2 linked regions of the Drosophila melanogaster genome follow. The gene in region 2 interacts genetically with the main gene of each other region. Each region holds a gene or a part of one and is shown on either strand. Other genes may lie near its edges.

What was found. A genetic interaction does not mean that the proteins touch.
Region 1: of uex (region 2) and PRL-1, changing one suppresses a phenotype caused by changing the other (phenotypic suppression), as found in Drosophila melanogaster (one study listed by BioGRID).

What each region holds. Positions count from the first base shown.
Region 1 is NT_033779.5:16,251,539-16,259,189, forward strand, and holds the start of PRL-1 (PRL-1 phosphatase), read right to left. Parts: upstream 6,069-7,651; 5' UTR 5,538-6,068; intron 4,618-5,537; exon of another isoform or gene 4,512-4,617; intron 251-4,511; exon of another isoform or gene 221-250; coding exon of another isoform or gene 92-220; exon of another isoform or gene 1-91. Other genes in the region: CG46309 (uncharacterized protein), read right to left, coding at 92-220; EndoGI (endonuclease G inhibitor), read left to right, coding at 6,576-6,641, 6,711-7,651. UniProt on the Drosophila melanogaster protein: Probable phosphatase. Inhibits growth possibly by negatively regulating Src64B-induced growth. Regulates central nervous system circuit formation and stabilization of synapse-dense terminal arbors.
Region 2 is NT_033778.4:3,943,498-3,955,200, reverse strand, and holds the start of uex (unextended), read left to right. Parts: upstream 1-5,775; 5' UTR 5,776-5,855; exon of another isoform or gene 5,856-6,353; intron 6,354-6,979; exon of another isoform or gene 6,980-7,601; intron 7,602-11,150; exon of another isoform or gene 11,151-11,189; 5' UTR 11,190-11,703. UniProt on the Drosophila melanogaster protein: Probable metal transporter. Acts downstream of PRL-1 and protects the nervous system against olfactory carbon dioxide stimulation.

The DNA of each region.
Region 1 (7,651 bases), on a different chromosome or scaffold from region 2:
AAGCTTTCTCTCCTATCAGTTAATTCGAATATACTGAGGATTGGTCCTCCACATTCAGATTTGCCAGCGGATAAATTGTATTTACCTATCGTTAATCGCCCGTTATACGGCGAGATAGTATCTCGATTAAATATCGACAAGTGTCGATTCTGAGACGTTGATCGATTACGATTACCACAATAAGTAGACGCGTATTGCTGCGTGATGAGCACTCTCTCATGTTTTGCTATCGACTGGCGATTGTCAACTCTTCGCCGCCCATTTTACGCCACGGAAACGGCCGCTCCGTCCGGCAGTAAGTCTCCATTGCCGGGGAGAACGAAGAGAGAGTCGTGACGCACATCTCTCCAATCGCTCACGCAGAGAGCGAAAAAAAATTATCTACAGTCTGGTGCATATTTAAAGCGCTTTAAAAAGTCTGTTGTGCAAAAACAATAGAGGCAGGAAAAATAGAAACAATTTGCTTGGTTAGTTTTACTTTTCTACTGTTGAACATAATTAGCAGAGTTCAATGGACCATGAAAGGGCGAATTTTGTGCTTACTAAAAATGTTTAAATTTTAAAGCATTTTATTCGTTCTGGTATAGTAGTGACAATATAAGTAGTTCTGATTTAAAATCACGAGGGTATTTATTTTAAAATGTTAAATTGTTTAATTTTAGAAACTAGACAACAAGTTAGTTTGTATTCTGTTCTTTTTAAATATAGATCTTAAAATATTTTTTTCGACTTCGTCTCTGAAATAAGTTTCGAAAATAAACTCTACTAAAATTTTGAATATACCTGTATTTTCGAAGAAACGCAAATCATATTGACATTACCTAACAAACACTTATATTTATGACCAATACAAATTATTTCGCGTTAATGGCTTGGTATTTTAAAGTGCCAAAATGCTTATAGACATATAATCCGTAGGATATTCAAATAACTGTGTGGAAACGCTTTTTAAATCGGGGAATAAATAAATGATTGATAAGATCTTTAGCATATAAAGGTTTTTTTCCCCATCTAGCTACCTGACTTGGAAAGTGTTCAAATACAGCGAAGGAAAGTTTTGCAGTCAGATTATAACTTTTACGGGATGCCAAGGTCAGTCGTTATTTAAGGGCAATAAACAAAGCTAAATGCGGTTTATATTATGCACAGTTAATGAAGGCTACGGCGCACACAAACGTGTAACTTAATATGAAATTAGTCTTACATTTAAACCAGTTGATTATAATCGAGATGTAGGCAAATGGCATGACGACACTAATACCAAATTGCGGCTATATTGTTACTCGCTATATACAAACATACATGCATACATATGTACACATTTGTTCCACTTGAATGCTCCTCGCTACATACACAGATTTTCAAATACATTTTCCAATCAGTTAATACATCATAATGTCTTTAAACGACGAGTTTAATGAAATCAAACTTTTGATTCAAATCAACATAAAGATATTCGTGCAATTAGACAAAACTTCTTAACAGACTATTGTATCTTTGACAAAAAATACTTTTTGTTCTCTCCGAGGTAGCAGATGGTTTTGTCTGTGCGGAAAGTTGATTGGACTTTCCCGAAACAGGAGCAGACGACTTAGACCGAGGGCCAGACAAGAAGGAAACAAAGAACAAGGAACCGATGAAATCTGGAGGTAAGAAAGCAAACACAACTGAATGCCGGTGTGTCTGAGTTTGGATTCGGGGTTCAAAGTACTTCAATTCCAGTTCCCTTTTCTTTTTTTTTTTTTTTGTTTGTCCCCTCTTTCAGTTTTTGTTTAGACTTCGACTGCAATCCTGGCAAACAAGATCGCCCGATTTACGCCAATAATCACAGACTTGCAAAAAATAGTAGTAAAAGGTTGTAAACAAATTGAAAATGACTAACGGACGGGAAATGTGATGAGGGTAACTGCCACTCAAGCCTCAACTTACTAAGCTAAAGTCTGTCCACGGGTGTCAATAAAACCGGAGACGTGCCGAAAAAAAAAGCCAGACATAACGCAGACACTAAGAATACATTAAGTCTTATACACTTATTAAAAAAACAAAAACTAGCTACCTACATGGGGTAGAAAGCTGGTAGACTAAACATTCAATAAAACAGTACACTGTTACCAACTTGGAACTTAAATCATTGGAATCATTGGTATCTTAAATGAATATTGAGAATAATTGTAAATGATTTAGGATCAATAGATATAAATTCATCTTACAATAAATGTATAGTCAAGAAGATTGATATAGATAGATTGATATAGATAGATAGATATAGATAGATACGAGATATAGATAGATATAGATATAGATATAAAGCAAGCAAGAACCTTTTTTGTACTGCCAAACACATGAAAACCAAAACTTTTCTAAGTTTTGTTCACCTTAGATATTCGCGGCACGCTTTCAGATCAGATAAGTATGGGTATTGGAAACCCAAGTCAAATGAAAAGACAGCAAAAAAAAACACAGACCAAGCTCGAGTTATTGATTTTGCGCGACTAGCAAAGGAGGAAGGGCGATGTCCAAGCCCCAGCACCAACACCATCTCCATCTCCATCCATCCGCGATTTCCGTATTTCGCCATAATGGAAATTTTAAGTTTGCCCCGAAGCGTCTCGAGTGCTGCGAACCAGGAGGAGATGAGCAGGAAATGGTGGCCCCACCACGGGGGCAACTAGGATCTCAAACCGCCTTTTTCTAGTTGCCAAGTGGTCGCGCTGTTTTTCGTGACGCACCAGGCGGCGACTTCTCATGCGTCATCAACGACTTTTAATCGGAAAACAGCTGTTGTTGTTTTGTTTTGATAAAATGCAACCAAAACAAAAATAAATAAGCAATCTTGTCTCGTTATTGCAATTATCGAATGCATGCCTTCTCCTGCCACAAATTGCAGGTCCTTCAAGGTTGATTTACAGACAAGGATTACGTACATACATGCATAGTACATCAACAAAAAAGTGCCATTTTCCTGGTTAGTTTTGGGTACTGTGTACCTTAACCAAGGGCAGGCCAAAACTATTGAGGACAAACAGCGCCGCATTTATCGCGCACTATATATAGAATCCGGGGGTGGTCGGTGACATTTTCCCCTCCCATTTTCCACCAATCTACCACCCTCCACCCTCCACTGACGTTTGTAAATCGTATTGCATGCTTTGTTGTTCGCTTTTTGGTCTATTTTTGGATATGACATGTATTGGTGAAATTCTGCACACAAGCGGCCAAAACGTGACAGCAGTAAAAAAAAAAAAAAAAATAATACAGCACAATGATATATAACCGCGAAAAGTAGTCTGAAAGTTCGCAACTCTCATGCTACTTCGATATTTCTAATTAGCGAGTTCTTGACTTCTTCCTAACTAATGTGCGAGTGTATTTAATTAGCTGGCTGTAGAATTTAAGCTGCCGCTACTGTACGAGTATGACCTCAAAAGACCGTGAAATATACATTTATCTACATTCAATTAATTTTGAGAATTTCTATAATTACAACTTGACACATTTATAGATTTGGTTACAGATCACGGAGCAGTGAAAGTTGTAAATTTTAAATAAGTTTAATTTCGGTAATTGTCGAGTAAGCAAATTTATCGCACAACAACAAAAATTAAGAAGATGTTGAAGATGTTCAGAAAGATCCAATAAATTGCACTAAATCAAAATGACCTCAAACAAATTTGCTGGAAGCATTTCAATGAACGAAAGTATTGCCACACATTTCGAGGAATTCAATTGGCTTTCGATTCGATTGTGTGCGTGGGAATATGGAATATTTTAGAACTGGCGGAAAGCAGATAAACCCAGACAACAAAATACAAACAGCTGGAATACAAAATAACCAAGAAGCGTATACGTAATCTCTACACTGAGTTGAGATACATGTAGTAGTACTCTTGATAAGAAAATGGAATTTAATGCAATGCTAGATAGATAGGTATTCAATCTTGAAAAATGTATATCTGTATGATTGAAAGGAACCCTACCAAATTAATCGAGTTTTGTAATCGATGCGTTCAAGTTATGACGTCTTTTCGTATGAGTTTGTTCGGTATATTTTTGATAAAGTCAAACCGGATTTTAAAATTCTTCCCTTGGCTGATACGCTTATCTGCTCGCTCTTTTTTATCACGGATAAATAAAAAGAGAGAATGAAACCGAAAGAGATTCTTTTCTTTCTTTTGTTTGTATTGCCGTGGCCGGGGCACTATCATTGAACTTGTTCAAGGACAAGAGACCCCAAACGGAAATAAAAGGGAGAGAGCACAAGAAATCTGACAAGAGAACCGGTTAAAAAATGGATATCGTTGGGATTTTCAACCACCGGTTGGCGTATAATTGATATTCCTTTGGTGCGTATGGGACAGTTTCAGTTGCCAGGTTCCATTTCTATACCGCTTATACCGCTTTCAATACCAATTGACGCAATTTGCTGATATCGATTAGCAAACAGTGCGATCAAGATAAACACAGGTGGAAAAAATGCGAAAATTCGAGATAACAGCAAATCACAGCCAAACCTTGTTGAGTAACAACTGATTGTAAAATTGAAAGCTATGAACGAAGGCAATCTTTTTGCACTACAACTTTGCTCCGTCCACATTTGTTCAGTATAAAATGCCAACTGATTTGGCTGTTTTGTTCTAAAAAAAACAATTTCTCTCGGCCATGTCTTTTGTTTACTGTTTGCTCTGCCGCTTTGATATGATATAAATCTGCTCGAAATGTCTTCAACAGATTAGATATTAGATTAGAATCTACGTGTATGTACCTAGCAAATGACGTATGAAGATGATAAAAACTGCCAAAAAAAATAAGAGAAATAAACTTTAACTGGTGCAGTGCAAAATAGTTTTGGTCCCGTCCTAGTTCCGTTCGGATGGTAAAACTGGGTCAGCTGACATTTATTTTCAACTGGCGAAGGCAGTTAACCAGGTAACTGGGTCGAATGAAAGTAAAATGCGTGAAGTTACCCATTTATTGAAGTATATGATTGTTGTGTATGATAACAAATGGGACATTACATTACTTTCCTTAACGTTTTTTATGCAAGCACAGCAGAATTTGCAATTCGATTAATTTGATTGCGAAGAAAAGAATATTATTCATAGCAATTACACAGATTTGTTGGTATTTTGAGAAGAATACATTTAAAAAGTTCACATTCATATTTATAAAAAACGTAAACACAATTAGTTTATAACATATTCTAGTTTTACAAGATGACAATTGTTTATAGTTTTTGCACAGACAAATAAAAATGTAACTGGTTGATATATACTAAAAAAAAATTTAAACAAATTCCAGAAACTATTTCTAATGCCAACATGTTTTTTAAGACTATTTTTCGAATAAAACAAACAAAATCCAGTTAGAAATTGTTTAAACGAAAAAAATTGAATGTAAATGCCAACGCACGCACACAAGCACACATACTTTGTGGCTCAGTAGTTGTGCGAGTGTTCGTTGACGTTCGAAACAATTTATGCAACAAAAATGTATTATTTAAAAACTTGCGGCTGTAGCCGATCCCCTGCCGCACTTACCACAATTGCCATACACATTTGAGTATAACTTTTGAAGCTTTTTCGTTGCTTTTCGTGCACGAGAAAATTGAATTCACGTCCACACGCACACACAGACGCACCGCGAGACTCTCACCGACACGAATTCCACGAATGCAATTGGCTGGTGTGTGTTGCCTTTTACGACACAACTATTGCTCTTATTGCAACTGTAAATTGATTGTATCTTTAGCTTAAGTGTTTTTTATTGAATAGGATTGTTAAACTTTGGTTTTTCAGCGACATTAACGCAAAATTCATCTGCAGCTTAACCTCAAATTTCTTTGTGTCTGTCACGCACACACACACACAAACACAGTCAGCACGGGGCGGAACCAATGGTATAAGATGAATCTATCAATTTGACATGAATTAATCGGGCGAAAATAATATCTGTAGTTTCCAGCACGGATTGCACAATTTTTTCTACCGATTTCCAAGAGCAAAGTACTTGTAATCGAAGTAGGCGTTGCGAACAATTCGCTCGTTTGTGTTGGTAGACACGGATGGTGATTATATTCGATAATCTCGAACACTCGATAGAGCCGATAGTATCGAGTGCAATTAAGTGTTAGATAAACATCGATTGCGGGCAGAATCGATACTTTTTTGTAATAATTTAATTACCTATTTTGCAATTGTCTTTTAAAAACAGTTTTTTTTATTTTAAATGTAAGATGTGATTTTAAAGGAAGTTGTACAATATATATACATATATATTTATTTATAAACCGACATAAAATATATAATATTTTCAATATGTCACATACTTTCTTTTCTTATTCATCCAATAAGTCGTCTTATTTTGATTCTTGGTCTGTCCTTCCGAGAATATTCCAATTAAAATTATTCTCTATTGAAAAGAACTACCCTACTATTTACATTCGTAGTATCGCAACAGCAAGCGGCGATCTGAATTAGTCATCTTATCTCTTTCCGACAGAAGTGACGATCAATAGCCCAACGATTTTAAACGCTTTACTTCGAAGAACCTTAAATCGCCAATTTATCCAGAGGGGAATGTCCAAGCGCAAGGCCGAGGACACACAATCCGACAAAATGGCAACGGCCGAGAAAGTAGCACAGGTAATAAGCAACAGCCATAGAAAATAAACAAAAATAGTTTACAAACAATAACAACTATTGTCTGGACAGAACGATTACACCATTGGCCTGGTGGATCCCGTTAAGGATTACCAAAAGCTTATCGAAACACGCGTGCAGGTAGACGAAATCGTGGATGATGATGTCACCAAGGAGAATTTCGATCGAACGGCTGCAGCGGCGCGTGACGTCATCTGGCGGCTGTTATTCGACGAGGCCGGTACCTCGCAATCGAACACAGAGAAGGCCAGCCAATTGCTGGAGGAATACCGTGGTGACGCCTGCTTCTACGACCCGACGCCGTACAACGAATGGATTGTCAAGCTGAGGGATGAGGTTCTAAAGAAGGAACTCCTCGACTTTTGGCGCGATGTGCTGGTGAAGAAGCAACTCGGTCCCTGTTGGTCACGCGACAGTGATCTCTTTGACAGCGACGACACCCCGCCATTGGAGTTCTATGCCCATGCCGGTTGTACCGCTCCATTTGCAGCCAGCTTAAAGGTGCGCGCAGCACTCGAGGAGCAGGCTTCGCTGGATCAGGATGGGCCAGCGACGCCTACAACTCCGGGTGAACTGAGTGCCGATGATGCCGCCGCTCTGTCTGGCGAATTTGAGGCCACCCTGACCAAGGAAAATCCGCTCGAGGAATACCGAACTCTAATGAAGCGCTTTGTTCTGACCAAAATCATCGTTCCGGACAGCGTTCACCAGGCCAGCGTGAAGAAGATAGCGGCAGCCGCCAGGGAGATAATCTGGAAGCTGCTCTTCGATGGCACACCCTCAGCGGAGGATCAAAACAAGGCCGCCGAGCTGCTGCAGGAGTACAAGGGTGATGCTGGTTTCTATGGGCCCGACGACTACAACAGTTGGATTTTCAATCTGAGGGATGAGGTTCTCACCAAAGAGCTTCTCGACTTTTGGCGCGACAAGATGGTGAAAATGGAACTTGGTCCCAGTTGCGCCCGCGATTCCGACTATTACGACAACGAGGA
Region 2 (11,703 bases):
CCCTGTATCTCACCAACATCATCATCTTACGCCTCGACGAGGATACGCTGGCCGAATGCAAGCATGACACCTTTGCGGTCACCGAATGCACAGATACCACACACTACACGTTCTGCGAGCGGTCCCGGCGCGAATCTTGTGCGCGCTCGCTCCACGCAGGAAGCGCAGCCCAATGCCACATTCAACCCAGCTACTTGCAAGAAGTACCTCCCGTAGATGACTGCGTTGTGATTATCAACGAAGCAGCAGCTCGTGTTAGCACCAATGGCAGCCCAGAAATACTAGTCGAGGGAACCCACCTGGTGACCTTCGAGCGAACGGCAAACATCAATGGCTCCGAGTTCGTAAACCTACGAAAAGCAAGCAAGCAGCCAGGCATTGTGCGCTCCCCATTACTTAACATACTTAACACCCTGTACTCAGCATCCCTCTGCTTCACCGGATGAATAACGAGAACCTACTCTCCATCCAAAGCTTTAAGGACGACATGGAATCTGAAGGTTCGCCTAAACTCTGGTTCGTAGCTGGTGTGGTCCTAAACGTTGGGTTAATTGGCTCCTTCGCACTTTATCTGGCATTAAGGAGAAGACGAGCCTCCAGGGAGATACAGCGAACCATCGACACTTTTAACATGACCGAGGACGGTCATAAGCCTGAAGGGGGAGTAGTTAGCAACTGATAATGTAATACTTCACAGCTACTAAGAAGCTTTGTATAAACAATGCTGACGCGCTTCATTCTGCCTAACAACTTTTCAACGAATATAGTATATCCTTTTACTCTAAGAATATCGGGCATCACAAGCAGATAGTAGTGTATATGGATGATAAAGTCGTAGCTACCACAACTGTAGAGGAATTATTTAATTATTAGATCGTATTAGTGAGAACAACAAACAGATTAACCTAAATAAATTTGAAATTTTTAAACCTGAATGAGAATTCCTTGGTTATGAAATGAACCGTACTGGTAGTGAAGCACATCTTGATGCGTTAAAAATAATGTCCTGTATCTCAAAATTTAAGCACCCTTCACTCGTTTCGAATTTCCACCTATTAAAACTAAATGTTTACATATGTATGTAATAACTGTAAGTTGTGGTGCCAATTCACATATTTTAGGATCGGCGGACACAAGCACTCACTTACAAAAGCACAGTTATTTACGTTGCATACAGTATGTCAAGAAACTGTTTACGCACTGTGAAAAAAATTAAACTTTTAACTTTAAAGGTAAAAATTAAGAGTTCTTTGCATACGTAAACTCAATTTTTTATGAAATATAATTAAACAATATTTATTTTACTTATAAATCAAAAAACAAATTAAAAATATTAAATATACAAAAAAAAATAAACAAAAAACACAGAACACTAAATACTTGGGACGACTCGATTCACGATTACATGGTCTTCAAGAAAATAAGCCCTTCTGAGCATCGTGGGTTTTATTTTTTTGTTTTCCAGATTTTTTCCAATATATATATTATTATGATTTAATTGTATTTATTTCCCATGATATCACATTTTTGTTCCAGCCTTTCTCGTTTCAAATTCTTGTCATCTTCTTTTCGCCGTTCCCTCCTTTGATGACTTGGATTCCGGGTCCGCCGTGTGTCTCCTCCAAGTTGTCCTTCTTTCGTTTCTCCTGGTCTCGGCCGGTCTGGATAAGGCGTCACACGATGGTCTGTATCTCAGTAAATTTTCTTCTGCGAAATTGTCGCACATTTATTCACAAATTTGCCTTTACTCATTGGCTTCTGCTCCCAAACACCTTTTTCTTTCTTTTTGCTTCACAAAACTTTTCGCTGAGTTTTGGACTTCTTCCAGAAGTTTCTGTCGCTATCGTTCCCACTCTGTCCCCCTATGGGCGCTTTCAATTTTCGGTTTTAGTTTTGTTAATTATCGTATGTGGCTTTCGTAGCCTTAAATCTAATTCTAAATGCTAACATGCATGCTCGGGTCGCCTAGCCTCGGCCTAAGATAATGCGAACGGGTTCGGTTACATGCAGACACGCAGGCATCGTCGCGGCAACATTGCTAACAAACTCTACAAAAATGATCGGAGTACCTCTCCTTAAACCTTAAATATAAAAAAGAGAGAATACTATAGACAAGTTCCCCGTCTATCAAATACCCGTTACACTGCTAGTGTGAATGCGAACTCTAATTTCATTATTTTTCTGGGATATCGATAGATATTGGGGGAAAAAATGAGAAAAAAATTAAAAATTGTTAAAAAATTTGGCGTGACTGGTATGGCGGCTTTAGGGCGTTAAAGTGGGCGTGGCAAAAATCGATAGAAATTTAAGCGACATATACAATTATGAAAAAATATCCAACAATTTTTTTAAAAATGTGGGCGTAGCAGTTTAAACAGTATATTTAAAACTAACTTGTATTATATGTATCTTCTCCTGGAAGTATGTATGTCTGTATGTATAACTAAAATATGAAGCAATGCATGTAGCCAATTGAAATTTGACAGGGTGCTGTAGCTGATGAAACTTCTGTTGCTTTTGGAGCTTCAGCTGAAGAAAAAATGTCGAAAAAAGTAACTAAAACAGCATCAGCTCATTTCTTTTCTAGTAGTGCAAAGTAGAAATTTTACTTAAATCGATAAAAAAATTATAACGTGGCCAAAATATTTTTTTGCTATACATATAGATAGATATTGGCAAGAAAAATACTAAGACAGTAAAATCAAAAGTAGCATAAATCTCTAGCAACAAAAGTTAGGTTTTTTTAAGCATGTTAAAGCAAAAGTTTCCAACGTTAATCTCGTGATTTCTTTTGTGAGTGATGTTACCTCCCACCAATTTTTGTAATTTTCCTTCTTAACTTTCAGAGTTTATTGTCATGAATTTAAGTATGCAGTCCCGTGTGCTGTTGTTGTGCTAACGTATTAAAAATGTATTTTTTTGTAGAAGTGGTATTCAGAGTCAGAAAATTTATTGTGCTAATTGGGGTAAGTTACCTATTTAACAAATCATTGTAATTCGTTTTACCATAAGAAAATTTTGCCATTTAAGCCAAATGCGATTCATTTCAGTATTCAATTATTTTTTAATTATTTTAAATAAAACTCAAAGTAATGATTTACAGTTTTTTCCACAGTTGTTCTTTGTATATAACCAAACTTCAATTAGAGAGAAGAATCCCGTGGGAATCATTCGAAAGTGATTTCTGGAACAGGGCCGATAACTAAATATCTTAAGAGTTCTATATTCGTCGGTAGTTGACTAATACCTTAAATTCAGGCTTTCCCTGCATGTTAGCTCTTTATTACAATCGATAGTAATAAGTACAATCGATAGTAGAGTCGATGAATATGCGGATCGAGGAAAGGCAGAACATTTAACGTACTAGTAAATAGTACATTTAAGAGAAAAGGAAAAGGTTGCACAGTATAATTTGAGAGTGGAAAAAAGGTATTTACGGTATTTCTTATGGTGAACTGTCTAATTTCGCCGGCCTCTAGGGATTCGTTGTTCTTATCATTACCACTTTCAATTTCATTGGAGCTGGAGGTGGAGCTGCCAATGGCCAATGTCTTTTTCATGGAATTTTCGAGTACCTTGGGTACTTTGGATTTCGATATTGTGGGTGCATTAGGTGGCTCCTTACGCTTGCCTGTATTATTTTTAGGCACAAGCATTTGCCAACCGCCAAAGCCACTTTATCCACTTTATAGCCAAACAGATCGCTCGGCGTAGGTGAGAGATAGGCGGTGCTCCGGTACACAAGTAGTCGTCGTGAATTTGTCCGCTGGCACATCTGCACACTGCGAGAGTTCGATCGCGACTGACCCGGCAGATAACCATAAATTCCGAAACCCAGAAGCAGATTAACAAGTTAAATGACACCATCAATAAGGTCATCAGTGCCCGTAAAAACGACTTGGTTGACACTCCACATTTATATGAAGCATTATTGGCAAGAAATAGGATGCTTTTTACAGAAATTTAATTCTTACTATTACTTTGGCCAAATCAAACATTGCAAATCCCACCATTCTTGACCATGCCGACTTGAAGTCTCTTGTAGAACAGGACACCCCTATTGTCAGCTTAATAGAAGCATCCAAGATGAGGGTCCTCCAGTCCGAGAACAGCATTCATATTATAATTGCCTATCCCAGAGTCAAGTTCGGTTGCAAGAAAGTCGCCGTCTACCCTGTATCTCACCAACATCATCATCTTACGCCTCGACGAGGATACGCTGGCCGAATGCAAGCATGACACCTTTGCGGTCACCGAATGCACAGATACCACACACTACACGTTCTGCGAGCGGTCCCGGCGCGAATCTTGTGCGCGCTCGCTCCACGCAGGAAGCGCAGCCCAATGCCACATTCAACCCAGCTACTTGCAAGAAGTACCTCCCGTAGATGACTGCGTTGTGATTATCAACGAAGCAGCAGCTCGTGTTAGCACCAATGGCAGCCCAGAAATACTAGTCGAGGGAACCCACCTGGTGACCTTCGAGCGAACGGCAACCATCAATGGCTCCGAGTTCGTAAACCTACGAAAAGCAAGCAAGCAGCCAGGCATTGTGCGCTCCCCATTACTTAACATACTTAACACCCTGTACTCAGCATCCCTCTGCTTCACCGGATGAATAACGAGAACCTACTCTCCATCCAAAGCTTTAAGGACGACATGGAATCTGAAGGTTCGCCTAAACTCTGGTTCGTAGCTGGTGTGGTCCTAAACGTTGGGTTAATTGGCTCCTTCGCACTTTATCTGGCATTAAGGAGAAGACGAGCCTCCAGGGAGATACAGCGAACCATCGACACTTTTAACATGACCGAGGACGGTCATAAGCCTGAAGGGGGAGTAGTTAGCAACTGATAATGTAATACTTCACAGCTACTAAGAAGCTTTGTATAAACAATGCTGACGCGCTTCATTCTGCCTAACAACTTTTCAACGAATCTAGTATATCCTTTTACTCTAAGAATAACGGGCATCACAAGCAGATAGTAGTGTATATGGATGATAAAGTCGTAGCTACCACAACTGTAGAGGAATTATTTAATTATTAGATCGTATTAGTGAGAACAACAAACAGATTAACCTAAATAAATTTGAAATTTTTAAACCTGAATGAGAATTCCTTGGTTATGAAATGAACCGTACTGGTAGTGAAGCACATCTTGATGCGTTAAAAATAATGTCCTGTATCTCAAAATTTAAGCACCCTTCACTCGTTTCGAATTTCCACCTATTAAAACTAAATGTTTACATATGTATGTAATAACTGTAAGTTGTGGTGCCAATTCACATATTTTAGGATCGGCGGACACAAGCACTCACTTACAAAAGCACAGTTATTTACGTTGCATACAGTATGTCAAGAAACTGTTTACGCACTGTGAAAAAAATTAAACTTTTAACTTTAAAGGTAAAAATTAAGAGTTCTTTGCATACGTAAACTCAATTTTTTATGAAATATAATTAAACAATATTTATTTTACTTATAAATCAAAAAACAAATTAAAAATATTAAATATACAAAAAAAAATAAACAAAAAACACAGAACACTAAATACTTGGGACGACTCGATTCACGATTACATGGTCTTCAAGAAAATAAGCCCTTCTGAGCATCGTGGGTTTTATTTTTTTGTTTTCCAGATTTTTTCCAATATATATATTATTATGATTTAATTGTATTTATTTCCCATGATATCACATTTTTGTTCCAGCCTTTCTCGTTTCAAATTCTTGTCATCTTCTTTTCGCCGTTCCCTCCTTTGATGACTTGGATTCCGGGTCCGCCGTGTGTCTCCTCCAAGTTGTCCTTCTTTCGTTTCTCCTGGTCTCGGCCGGTCTGGATAAGGCGTCACACGATGGTCTGTATCTCAGTAAATTTTCTTCTGCGAAATTGTCGCACATTTATTCACAAATTTGCCTTTACTCATTGGCTTCTGCTCCCAAACACCTTTTTCTTTCTTTTTGCTTCACAAAACTTTTCGCTGAGTTTTGGACTTCTTCCAGAAGTTTCTGTCGCTATCGTTCCCACTCTGTCCCCCTATGGGCGCTTTCAATTTTCGGTTTTAGTTTTGTTAATTATCGTATGTGGCTTTCGTAGCCTTAAATCTAATTCTAAATGCTAACATGCATGCTCGGGTCGCCTAGCCTCGGCCTAAGATAATGCGAACGGGTTCGGTTACATGCAGACACGCAGGCATCGTCGCGGCAACATTGCTAACAAACTCTACAAAAATGATCGGAGTACCTCTCCTTAAACCTTAAATATAAAAAAGAGAGAATACTATAGACAAGTTCCCCGTCTATCAAATACCCGTTACACTGCTAGTGTGAATGCGAACTCTAATTTCATTATTTTTCTGGGATATCGATAGATATTGGGGGAAAAAATGAGAAAAAAATTAAAAATTGTTAAAAAATTTGGCGTGACTGGTATGGCGGCTTTAGGGCGTTAAAGTGGGCGTGGCAAAAATCGATAGAAATTTAAGCGACATATACAATTATGAAAAAATATCCAACAATTTTTTTAAAAATGTGGGCGTAGCAGTTTAAACAGTATATTTAAAACTAACTTGTATTATATGTATCTTCTCCTGGAAGTATGTATGTCTGTATGTATAACTAAAATATGAAGCAATGCATGTAGCCAATTGAAATTTGACAGGGTGCTGTAGCTGATGAAACTTCTGTTGCTTTTGGAGCTTCAGCTGAAGAAAAAATGTCGAAAAAAGTAACTAAAACAGCATCAGCTCATTTCTTTTCTAGTAGTGCAAAGTAGAAATTTTACTTAAATCGATAAAAAAATTATAACGTGGCCAAAATATTTTTTTGCTATACATATAGATAGATATTGGCAAGAAAAATACTAAGACAGTAAAATCAAAAGTAGCATAAATCTCTAGCAACAAAAGTTAGGTTTTTTTAAGCATGTTAAAGCAAAAGTTTCCAACGTTAATCTCGTGATTTCTTTTGTGAGTGATGTTACCTCCCACCAATTTTTGTAATTTTCCTTCTTAACTTTCAGAGTTTATTGTCATGAATTTAAGTATGCAGTCCCGTGTGCTGTTGTTGTGCTAACGTATTAAAAATGTATTTTTTTGTAGAAGTGGTATTCAGAGTCAGAAAATTTATTGTGCTAATTGGGGTAAGTTACCTATTTAACAAATCATTGTAATTCGTTTTACCATAAGAAAATTTTGCCATTTAAGCCAAATGCGATTCATTTCAGTATTCAATTATTTTTTAATTATTTTAAATAAAACTCAAAGTAATGATTTACAGTTTTTTCCACAGTTGTTCTTTGTATATAACCAAACTTCAATTAGAGAGAAGAATCCCGTGGGAATCATTCGAAAGTGATTTCTGGAACAGGGCCGATAACTAAATATCTTAAGAGTTCTATATTCGTCGGTAGTTGACTAATACCTTAAATTCAGGCTTTCCCTGCATGTTAGCTCTTTATTACAATCGATAGTAATAAGTACAATCGATAGTAGAGTCGATGAATATGCGGATCGAGGAAAGGCAGAACATTTAACGTACTAGTAAATAGTACATTTAAGAGAAAAGGAAAAGGTTGCACAGTATAATTTGAGAGTGGAAAAAAGGTATTTACGGTATTTCTTATGGTGAACTGTCTAATTTCGCCGGCCTCTAGGGATTCGTTGTTCTTATCATTACCACTTTCAATTTCATTGGAGCTGGAGGTGGAGCTGCCAATGGCCAATGTCTTTTTCATGGAATTTTCGAGTACCTTGGGTACTTTGGATTTCGATATTGTGGGTGCATTAGGTGGCTCCTTACGCTTGCCTGTATTATTTTTAGGCACAAGCATTTGCCAACCGCCAAAGCCACTTTATCCACTTTATAGCCAAACAGATCGCTCGGCGTAGGTGAGAGATAGGCGGTGCTCCGGTACACAAGTAGTCGTCGTGAATTTGTCCGCTGGCACATCTGCACACTGCGAGAGTTCGATCGCGACTGACCCGGCAGATAACCATAAATTCCGAAACCCAGAAGCAGATTAACAAGTTAAATGACACCATCAATAAGGTCATCAGTGCCCGTAAAAACGACTTGGTTGACACTCCACATTTATATGAAGCATTATTGGCAAGAAATAGGATGCTTTTTACAGAAATTTAATTCTTACTATTACTTTGGCCAAATCAAACATTGCAAATCCCACCATTCTTGACCATGCCGACTTGAAGTCTCTTGTAGAACAGGACACCCCTATTGTCAGCTTAATAGAAGCATCCAAGATGAGGGTCCTCCAGTCCGAGAACAGCATTCATATTATAATTGCCTATCCCAGAGTCAAGTTCGGTTGCAAGAAAGTCGCCGTCTACCCTGTATCTCACCAACATCATCATCTTACGCCTCGACGAGGATACGCTGGCCGAATGCAAGCATGACACCTTTGCGGTCACCGAATGCACAGATACCACACACTACACGTTCTGCGAGCGGTCCCGGCGCGAATCTTGTGCGCGCTCGCTCCACGCAGGAAGCGCAGCCCAATGCCACATTCAACCCAGCTACTTGCAAGAAGTACCTCCCGTAGATGACTGCGTTGTGATTATCAACGAAGCAGCAGCTCGTGTTAGCACCAATGGCAGCCCAGAAATACTAGTCGAGGGAACCCACCTGGTGACCTTCGAGCGAACGGCAACCATCAATGGCTCCGAGTTCGTAAACCTACGAAAAGCAAGCAAGCAGCCAGGCATTGTGCGCTCCCCATTACTTAACATACTTAACACCCTGTACTCAGCATCCCTCTGCTTCACCGGATGAATAACGAGAACCTACTCTCCATCCAAAGCTTTAAGGACGACATGGAATCTGAAGGTTCGCCTAAACTCTGGTTCGTAGCTGGTGTGGTCCTAAACGTTGGGTTAAGTGGCTCCTTCGCACTTTATCTGGCATTAAGGAGAAGACGAGCCTCCAGGGAGATACAGCGAACCATCGACACTTTTAACATGACCGAGGACGGTCATAAGCCTGAAGGGGGAGTAGTTAGCAACTGATAATGTAATACTTCACAGCTACTAAGAAGCTTTGTATAAACAATGCTGACGCGCTTCATTCTGCCTAACAACTTTTCAACGAATCTAGTATATCCTTTTACTCTAAGAATAACGGGCATCACAAGCAGATAGTAGTGTATATGGATGATAAAGTCGTAGCTACCACAACTGTAGAGGAATTATTTAATTATTAGATCGTATTAGTGAGAACAACAAACAGATTAACCTAAATAAATTTGAAATTTTTAAACCTGAATGAGAATTCCTTGGTTATGAAATGAACCGTACTGGTAGTGAAGCACATCTTGATGCGTTAAAAATAATGTCCTGTATCTCAAAATTTAAGCACCCTTCACTCGTTTCGAATTTCCACCTATTAAAACTAAATGTTTACATATGTATGTAATAACTGTAAGTTGTGGTGCCAATTCACATATTTTAGGATCGGCGGACACAAGCACTCACTTACAAAAGCACAGTTATTTACGTTGCATACAGTATGTCAAGAAACTGTTTACGCACTGTGAAAAAAATTAAACTTTTAACTTTAAAGGTAAAAATTAAGAGTTCTTTGCATACGTAAACTCAATTTTTTATGAAATATAATTAAACAATATTTATTTTACTTATAAATCAAAAAACAAATTAAAAATATTAAATATACAAAAAAAATAAACAAAAAACACAGAACACTAAATACTTGGGACGACTCGATTCACGATTACATGGTCTTCAAGAAAATAAGCCCTTCTGAGCATCGTGGGTTTTATTTTTTTGTTTTCCAGATTTTTTCCAATATATATATTATTATGATTTAATTGTATTTATTTCCCATGATATCACATTTTTGTTCCAGCCTTTCTCGTTTCAAATTCTTGTCATCTTCTTTTCGCCGTTCCCTCCTTTGATGACTTGGATTCCGGGTCCGCCGTGTGTCTCCTCCAAGTTGTCCTTCTTTCGTTTCTCCTGGTCTCGGCCGGTCTGGATAAGGCGTCACACGATGGTCTGTATCCCAGTAAATTTTCTTCTGCGAAATTGTCGCACATTTATTCACAAATTTGCCTTTACTCATTGGCTTCTGCTCCCAAACACCTTTTTCGTTCTTTTTGCTTCACAAAACTTTTCGCTGAGTTTTGGACTTCTTCCAGAAGTTTCTGTCGCTATCGTTCCCACTCTGTCCCCCTATGGGCGCTTTCAATTTTCGGTTTTAGTTTTGTTAATTATCGTATGTGGCTTTCGTAGCCTTAAATCTAATTCTAAATGCTAACATGCATGCTCGGGTCGCCTAGCCTCGGCCTAAGATAATGCGAACGGGTTCGGTTACATGCAGACACGCAGGCATCGTCGCGGCAACATTGCTAACAAACTCTACAAAAATGATCGGAGTACCTCTCCTTAAACCTTAAATATAAAAAAGAGAGAATACTATAGACAAGTTCCCCGTCTATCAAATACCCGTTACACTGCTAGTGTGAATGCGAACTCTAATTTCATTATTTTTCTGGGATATCGATAGATATTGGGGGAAAAAATGAGAAAAAAATTAAAAATTGTTAAAAAATTTGGCGTGACTGGTATGGCGGCTTTAGGGCGTTAAAGTGGGCGTGGCAAAAATCGATAGAAATTTAAGCGACATATACAATTATGAAAAAATATCCAACAATTTTTTTAAAAATGTGGGCGTAGCAGTTTAAACAGTATATTTAAAACTAACTTGTATTATATGTATCTTCTCCTGGAAGTATGTATGTCTGTATGTATAACTAAAATATGAAGCAATGCATGTAGCCAATTGAAATTTGACAGGTGGCTGTAGCTGATGAAACTTCTGTTGCTTTTGGAGCTTCAGCTGAAGAAAAAATGTCGAAAAAAGTAACTAAAACAGCATCAGCTCATTTCTTTTCTAGTAGTGCAAAGTAGAAATTTTACTTAAATCGATAAAAAAATTATAACGTGGCCAAAATATTTTTTTGCTATACATATAGATAGATATTGGCAAGAAAAATACTAAGACAGTAAAATCAAAAGTAGCATAAATCTCTAGCAACAAAAGTTAGGTTTTTTTAAGCATGTTAAAGCAAAAGTTTCCAACGTTAATCTCGTGATTTCTTTTGTGAGTGATGTTACCTCCCACCAATTTTTGTAATTTTCCTTCTTAACTTTCAGAGTTTATTGTCATGAATTTAAGTATGCAGTCCCGTGTGCTGTTGTTGTGCTAACGTATTAAAAATGTATTTTTTTGTAGAAGTGGTATTCAGAGTCAGAAAATTTATTGTGCTAATTGGGGTAAGTTACCTATTTAACAAATCATTGTAATTCGTTTTACCATAAGAAAATTTTGCCATTTAAGCCAAATGCGATTCATTTCAGTATTCAATTATTTTTTAATTATTTTAAATAAAACTCAAAGTAATGATTTACAGTTTTTTCCACAGTTGTTCTTTGTATATAACCAAACTTCAATTAGAGAGAAGAATCCAGTGGGAATCATTCGAAAGTGACATCTGGAACAGGGCCGATAACTAAATATCTTAAGAGTTCTATATTCGTCGGTAGTTGACTAATACCTTAAATTCAGGCTTTCCCTGCATGTTAGCTCTTTATTACAATCGATAGTAATAAGTACAATCGATAGTAGAGTCGATGAATATGCGGATCGAGGAAAGGCAGAACATTTAAC